2 linked regions of the Sus scrofa genome follow. The protein of the gene in region 1 interacts with the protein of each later gene in a biochemical or structural test. Links are inferred from orthologs where the notes say so. Each region holds a gene or a part of one and is shown on either strand. Other genes may lie near its edges. The genes, in order: NRIP1 and RARA.

What was found.
Region 2: the proteins of NRIP1 (region 1) and RARA form a complex in vitro, tested with the Homo sapiens proteins (4 studies listed by BioGRID). The link is inferred for Sus scrofa from reciprocal best matches to the Homo sapiens genes NRIP1 and RARA.

The regions. Positions count from the first base shown.
Region 1 is NC_010455.5:179,829,205-179,833,021, reverse strand, and holds part of NRIP1 (nuclear receptor-interacting protein 1), read left to right. Parts: intron 1-1,832; 5' UTR 1,833-2,144; coding exon 2,145-3,817. UniProt on the Homo sapiens protein: Modulates transcriptional activation by steroid receptors such as NR3C1, NR3C2 and ESR1. Also modulates transcriptional repression by nuclear hormone receptors.
Region 2 is NC_010454.4:22,071,943-22,075,759, reverse strand, and holds part of RARA (retinoic acid receptor alpha), read left to right. Parts: intron 1-2,447; exon of another isoform or gene 2,448-2,538; intron 2,539-2,780; 5' UTR 2,781-3,148; coding exon 3,149-3,326; intron 3,327-3,817. UniProt on the Homo sapiens protein: Receptor for retinoic acid. Retinoic acid receptors bind as heterodimers to their target response elements in response to their ligands, all-trans or 9-cis retinoic acid, and regulate gene expression in various biological processes.

The sequences.
Region 1 (3,817 bases):
AGTTACCTGAGGAAATTTGGCACACCTAGTTCCCTGAAGAGTTTGTAATAGTAGAGTCTGAGTGAATTCCAGCCTTAAGTAGTCTCGGAATTTCTGCTTTCTGAGGTATTCCAATTTTCTGCTAGAATGGTGGTAGGTGTTGCCTACCTGCACCCCAGGGGAGTGCACCTAGAATAGCTTTTCAGTAACTACTATCTTTGAGTTACAGGTTGATCTTATTAAAAAATGAGTTTCGGAGTTCCCGTCATGGCTCAGTGGTTAACGAACCCGACGAGGAACCATGAGGTTTTGGGTTCGATCCCTGGCCTTGCTCAGTGGGTTGAGGATCCAGCATTGCCGTGAGCTGTGGTGTAGGTTGCAGATGAAGCTCGTAGCCCGAGTTGCTGTGGCTCTGGTGTAGGCCGGCACCTACAGCTCTGATTAGACCCCTAGCCTCAGAACCTCCATATGCTACAGGAGCAGCCCTAGAAAAGGCAAAAAGACAAAAAAAAAAAAAAAAAAAAAAAAGAGTTTCTATGAAAAGCTCTTTCTTGCCTCATATAATTGGTTTTGTTTATAGAATATTCTTTTCAAAGAGGTTAATGAGAAATAACCATTTGAACTTTGAATTTCTCTTCAAATCTCTTCTAAATTTGTTTCTTGCCAACTTTTCTACAGGATGATATGATGACTTAGTATGTGTGTGTGTGTATATATATATATATATGTATAGTTATAGGTTTTTTTAAGATTTTACTTCTATTATAGTTGATTTATAATGTTCTGTCAGTTTCTGCTATTATAGTTTTATGTGCTCTATACTAACCACATTTTCTAAACCAAAAATTAATGCAGTACCCAAAAACATTTTTTAAATAATGACTTTTATTTTTAAATCCTTTAAATTTTTTTCAAATCACATAATATTTTAATTTATCTGTAATTATTGATAACAAGGTCATACTCAAAGAAATAGCATGGGCAGGGGGAGGAGTATTTTATATTAGGAACATTCTAGAAACTTAGGATGGTAGGCTTATCTGTAACCTGTATTCTGCATCTGCTAGGAGTGCACCTTATTTTACAAGTTCTACATGGAGCACAGATGTAAGAATTTTAAGACAGACGCATTCAAACTTTGCTCGACCTAAATGGGTTTTGTTTTTAATAAGTCTCGGTAAGAACTATGGGTGAATAAGCCTGTGATTTTATGTAAATGTGTATTAACTAAGACTATCACAGTTTGCATGCCCCTTCAGAAGAATCTTACACTTGTTAGGGCTTCCAATTCTTTGAAAACAGAAATTCTCCAAATTCTTTTGGGGATGGCTGATGTTTAGAGGATGATGTCAGAAGCGTTGTGTCGGCCTCAACCTCACATCCAACTCATTAGATGAGTCCATGTCACATGGATCTCTTCTCCTTTTTCCTCTTGTTCCTTCATAAGCTCTGAGTAATGTAAGGAAGCTAGAACTAGCCCCTTGTACAGCTGCAGTGCTATAGGGAGACGACTTAGCATCACATCACTTTGCAGAAAGATGTTTATGAAAATTCAAAAACTTAATGGGCTTTGGAAGACAGTTGTATAACATTAAAGTATTTTCTCTGATTGGATCCTTTTCACGATATGAAATTAATTAATCCATAAGATTTCCAGTAGAGATTTCCAATTTAATAGGAATGGCAATAAAATAAATTACTGAAGAAGCATCTATAATGCATAAATATGTACATTGCATGTGGGTATATATACGCATATCAGCTTACAAGCGCTAGATTGTTTTGCTTTCACATATCAGAGTACAATTCTAATTCTTCACCTCCTTAACTATTTTTTTCTTTAATTTTTCTAGAACACTGATATTTGCATTTATTGGGGAACAAAAGATGAAGAAGAAGCAGTGTATTCACTAAGGATTCTGCTGCTGCTTCTTACTTGGGAGTTGATCAGCTCTATGGTCGGACTGCACTGGGGTCGGCCTGCCATTTATCTCGCCACTGCCAGCAGGAATCCTGGTCGGAATGTAACAGTACACCTCTGTCTAATTACTATGGAAGGTGATAAACTGACACTCACTTATTAACATTACATCTCATTCACCCAAAAAAAAAACCATTCTTCAAAGTGAATAGAAACCAAGCCCTTGTGAACACTTCTATTGAACATGACTCATGGAGAAGAGCTTGGCTCTGATGTGCACCAGGATTCTATTGTTTTAACTTACCTAGAAGGATTACTAATGCATCAGGCAGCAGAGGGATCAGGTACTGCCGTCGACAAAAAGTCTGCTGGGCGTAATGAAGAAGATCAGAACTTTAACATTTCCGGTAATGCATTTCCCACCTGTCAAAGTAATGGTCCAGTTCTCAATACACACACATATCAGGGATCTGGCATGCTGCATCTCAAAAAAGCCAGGCTATTGCAGTCTTCTGAGGACTGGAATGCAGCGAAGCGGAAGAGGCTGTCTGATTCCATCGTCAATTTAAACGTAAAGAAGGAGGCTTTGCTGGCTGGCATGGTTGACAATGTGCCTAAAGGCAAACAGGATAGCACATTACTGGCCTCTTTGCTTCAGTCATTCAGCTCTAGGCTGCAGACTGTTGCTCTGTCACAACAAATTAGGCAGAGCCTCAAGGAGCAAGGGTATGCCCTCAGTCATGATTCTTTAAAAGTGGAGAAAGATTTAAGGTGCTACGGTGTTGCGTCAAGTCACTTAAAAACATTGTTGAAGAAAAGTAAAGCTAAAGATCAAAAGCCTGATACAAATCTCCCTGACGTAACTAAAAACCTCATCAGAGAGAGGTTCGTAGAGTCACCTCATCATGTTGGACAAAGTGGAACAAAGGTCCTGAGTGAACCTTTGTCATGCGCTGCAAGATTACAAGCTGTTGCAAGCATGGTGGAAAAAAGGGCTAGTCCTGCCACTTCACCCAAACCCAGTGTTGCTTGTAGCCAATTAGCATTACTCCTTTCAAGCGAAGCCCATTTACAGCAGTATTCTCGAGAACATGCTTTAAAAACACAAAATGCAAATCAGGCAGCGAGTGAAAGACTTGCTGCTATGGCCAGATTACAGGAAAATGGCCAGAAGGATGTGGGCAGTTTCCAGGTCTCCAAAGGAGTGTCAGGCCATCTTAATGGCCAGGCAAGAACATCATCAAACAAATTAATGGCTAGCAAAAGTACAACATTTCAAAGTCCAATGGGTCTCGTTCCTTCTTCCCCCAAAAATGCAGGCTATAAGAATTCACTGGAAAGAAACAATATCAAACAAGCTGCTAATAATAGTTTGCTTTTACATCTTCTTAAAAGCCAGACCATACCTAAGCCAATGAACGGACACAGTCACAGTGAGAGAGGAAGCATTTTTGAGGAGAGCAGTACACCTACAACTATTGATGACTACTCAGATAACAATCCCAGTTTTACAGATGATAGCAGTGGTGATGAAAGCTCTTATTCCAACTGTGTGCCCATAGACTTGTCTTGCAAGCACCGAACCGAAAAGCCAGAACCTGACCAGCCTGTTTCTCTAGATAACTTAACTCAGTCCTTACTAAACACTTGGGATCCCAAAGTCCCCGAAGTAGATAACAAAGAAGATCAAGATACCTCAAAGAATTCTAGGCTAAATTCACACCAGAAAGTGACCCTTCTTCAGCTGCTCCTCGGCCATAAGAATGAAGAAAATGTAGAAAGAAACAACAGCCCTCAGGAAGTCCACAGTGATGTGACAAAGTTCAGCACACAGAACTATGCTCGGACCTCTGTCATTGAAAGCCCGGGTACCAACAGGACGACGCCAGTGAGCACTCCACCCCTACTTGCATCGGC
Region 2 (3,817 bases), on another chromosome or scaffold:
GAACCCGCAACCTCATGGTTCCTAGTCGGATTCGTTAACCACTGCGCCACGACGGGAACTCCCTGTTTCCCCTTTTCTTTTCTTTTCTTTTCTTTTCTTTTCTTTTCTTTTCTTGTCTCTTCTTTCCTTCTTCTCTTTTCTTCTTTTTAACAGCTTTATGGAAGATATAATTCCCATACCATAAAATATAAAATTCGCCCATTAAAGTGTACCATTTGGGAGTTCCCGTTGTGGCACAGTGGAAACGAATCCGACTAGGAACCATGAGGTTGACGGTTCGATCCCTGGCCTCCCTCAGTGGGTTAAGGATCAGGCGTTGCCCTGAGCTCTGGTGCAGGCCGACAACTGTGGCCCTGATTAGACCCCTAGCCTGAGAACCTCCATATGCTGCTAGTGCCGTCCTAAAAAGCAAAAACAAAAACAAAAACAAAAACAAAAACAAAAACAAAACAGTAAAAGAAAGAAAGAAAAGCGTACAATTCGGAGTTCCTGTTGTGGCTCAGTGGTTTAACAAACCCGACTAGTATCCATGAGGATGGAGGTTTGATCCCTGGCCTTGCTCAGTGGGTTAAGACTCTGGTGTTGCTATGAGCTGTGGTGTGGGTCGAGGACACAGCTCGGATCCTGTGTTGCCGTGGCTGTGGTGTAGGCTGGCGGCTACAGCTCCCATTGGACCCCTAGCCTGGGAACCTCCATATGCTGTGGGTGCGGCCCTAAAAAGACAAAGAAAAAGTGTACAATTCACTGGTTTAGAGTTGTGCAACAGTTACCACAATCACTTTTAGAAAATTTTCATCACTCCAGAAAGAGCCCCCATACTCATCAGCAGCCACTTCCCATTTCCTTTAGATCCACGCCCCAGACCTGGTAACCACAATCTGCTTTCTGCCTTTAGAGATGTGCCTGTTTGGGACATTTCACATAAATGGAATTGTACAATATGTGGTCTTTTACAACGAGCATAATCTTTTCAAGCTTTACGCGTATTGTCATGTATTTCAGCACCTCGTTCCTTTTGATGGCAGAATAATATTCCATTGCATGGATGACCAACATTTTATTTACCCATTCATCTGTTGATGGACATTTGGGTTGCTTCTACTGTGGGGCTGTTAGGAGTGTTGGTATGAGCATCCGCATCCGGGTGCCAGTTTTTGTGTGGATTTATGTTTTAATTTCTCCTGGGTCAAAACCTAGGAGTGGAATTGCTGGATCATACAACCCTGTGTTTAACCTTTAAAGGAACTGCCGCACTGTTCTGCAAAGCAGCGGCACCGGTTTCCATTCCCACCAGCAACGTATGAGGGTTTTGCTGTCTCCATGTGCTCACACACCTGTTATTATCAGTCTTTTTTTTTTTTTTTTTTTTTTTGGTTTTTAGGGCCACACCTGTGGCATATGGAGGTTCCCAGGCTAGGGGTTTAATCGGAGCTACAGCTGCCGGCCTACACCACAGCCATAGCCCTGCCAGATCCGAGCCACATCTGCAACCTACACCACAGCTCTCGGCAACGCTGGATCCTTAATTCACTGAGCAAGGCCAGGGATTGAACCTGCAACCTCATGGTTCCCGGTCAGATTCATTTCCGCTGTGCCACAACAGGAACTCCTCTGTTATCATCAGTCTTTTTGATGATAGCCGTCTGAGTAGATGTGAAGTGATATCTCGTGGTTTTGATTGGCCAGGTTTCTTTTGCCTTTCCTGTGTGTCGTGTGTGTGTGTGTGTGTGTGTGTGTGTGTGTACATATAAACACATGCCTTTGACTTACATTGTTTATGTATATCCTCCTACACCCCAGGTGGATTTGAAGCATCGTCTTGTGGATGCTTCTCTTTCTCCACCTCTTTCTTTGCTTTGTTGCCGCCTGTCTCACTGTGTCATGGAATTTCGGGGTTCTTCTCTGTCTCTTGCTACCCAGGGTTCTATCTGTGCGTGTCTTCTGGTCCCAGCTGTTCAAACAGGGTGTGGATCTGCCTGCACACCAGTTGAGGGGGGTGCTTTTGGCCTCTCATCTTCTGCCCACCTCCCTCCCTCTGGGGACGTTGCTTCTGCAGACCGAGTGTGGGGATGGACTCTGAGACCAGTCTCCTTTGCTCCTTCATTGCTTGGGAGGAGGGGGCTTCCACCCTGGGCAGTCCCTGCCCTCCTGGCACGCTGCCCACCCCCGGCCCATCATGCTCTTAAGCACTGGAGGTGATGCCCAGGGGCCCTCAGTTCCCGTTTCCCTGTTTGTATGTAAGCACGCAGGCCTCCTCCCTGCGCCTGTGGGACAAACCCATCTGGGGTGCTCGGGCTTGGATTTGGGGGGGAAGTGGTGTAAGAGGGGCCCCCTGGTTTAGGAGTCATTTTTCTGAGAAGTGCCAATGCTTTAGGGAAGCGGCTTTTCCTCCCCCTCCCCCCTCCCATCCAGCGCACGTCTCTGCATCTTGACCTCAGGTAACCTGCTTTGAGGGAAGGAGGGCCAGCTGCCTTCCTCAGCTGCAGGAATCCTCGGGGGTGGCATGGCACGGTGGCCCCTTTCCTCTCAGGATCGTGGGTGAGAGGCCCTCCTGGGCTCTGGGCTCTGTCCCCTGTCGTCTCCCCAGCCTGGCTGTGCGGTCCTGCCACCCCCAGCAGTGTCTGGGCCCTGCTCCCAGGCTGTCTCTGCCAGCCAGGCATGGTGCCAGCTGTCTGCTCAGCCGGGTGCCACGGGAAAATCTCCGGCCGCCCAGGTTGGGGAGCTCCGCGGGGAATGCCTGCTCCTTGGTGCCCACTCACCTGCCTTTCTTCTCTCTGCAGCATCGCAGGACATGGCCCCTCCAGCCGCCTTGCCAGGGCCCGTCTAGGAGAGGCATCCTTTTCAGCATCCTTCCAACCGGCTCTGGACCTTCCCGGGAAAGTGCCAGCTCATACAACCGCTTGACCAGAGGACCAGCTCTTAGGACGTTCCCCAGCCCACCTGGCCCCCAGCCCGAGTGGGGGCTCCGGGAGGCTGCAGTTAGCCTGCGAGCCTTGGACCGAGCAGCTCCAGGACAAGAAGGGGGGGTGGGCTGACCACCCAAACCCCCTCTGGGCCCCGGCCCCATGCCCCGAGGAGAGGCGGCCTGAAGCCCGCCAGAGCCTCCTGCCAGACTGTCTGCCTGCTCTTGTGACTGTGGCTGCTTGGCATGGCCAGCAACAGCAGCTCCTGCCCAACACCCGGGGGAGGGCACCTCAATGGGTACCCGGTGCCCCCCTACGCCTTCTTCTTCCCCCCCATGCTGGGGGGGCTCTCCCCGCCGGGCGCTCTGACCACTCTCCAGCACCCGCTTCCAGTTAGCGGCTACAGCACACCGTCCCCAGCCAGTAAGTGGGGTGGCGGGCACGGCGGGAGGGGGGCCGTGGAGGGTAGTGGGCCTGAGGCTGGGCCTCTGGGCGCATCTGTTCCGCCGTGGTGAGATCTCCAGACAAGGGGGACAGTCGTTGGGGAGGCAGCATCGAGGATGAAAGGCTTGGGGCCCGTCACGGTGCTTGTGTTTGGCGTTGGGGGTGGCAGAGGGAGAGATGAAACAAGGCTGACCCGCAGGGCCCCTTATGCCCCCCTCCTGTGCTCTGCGTTGAGGGCCTTATAAATAGCTCCAAGGACCGGCCACGGAGGCCGGAGGCGGGTAAACAAACCTCTCGACATTGGGTGGAAATGGCCCCCGCTCTGCCCAGAGCCCCACCCCATCCAGGGCCTCGGAGGGAAGGGGCTTGAAGGAGTAGAAGCCCCTCCCCAGGCTCTGCCAGCTCCAGCCAGCCTAGGTGGCGCTTCCCTTTGTGGGGCGGGTGAGAGGGAGGGCCCCCAAGCAGCCTGG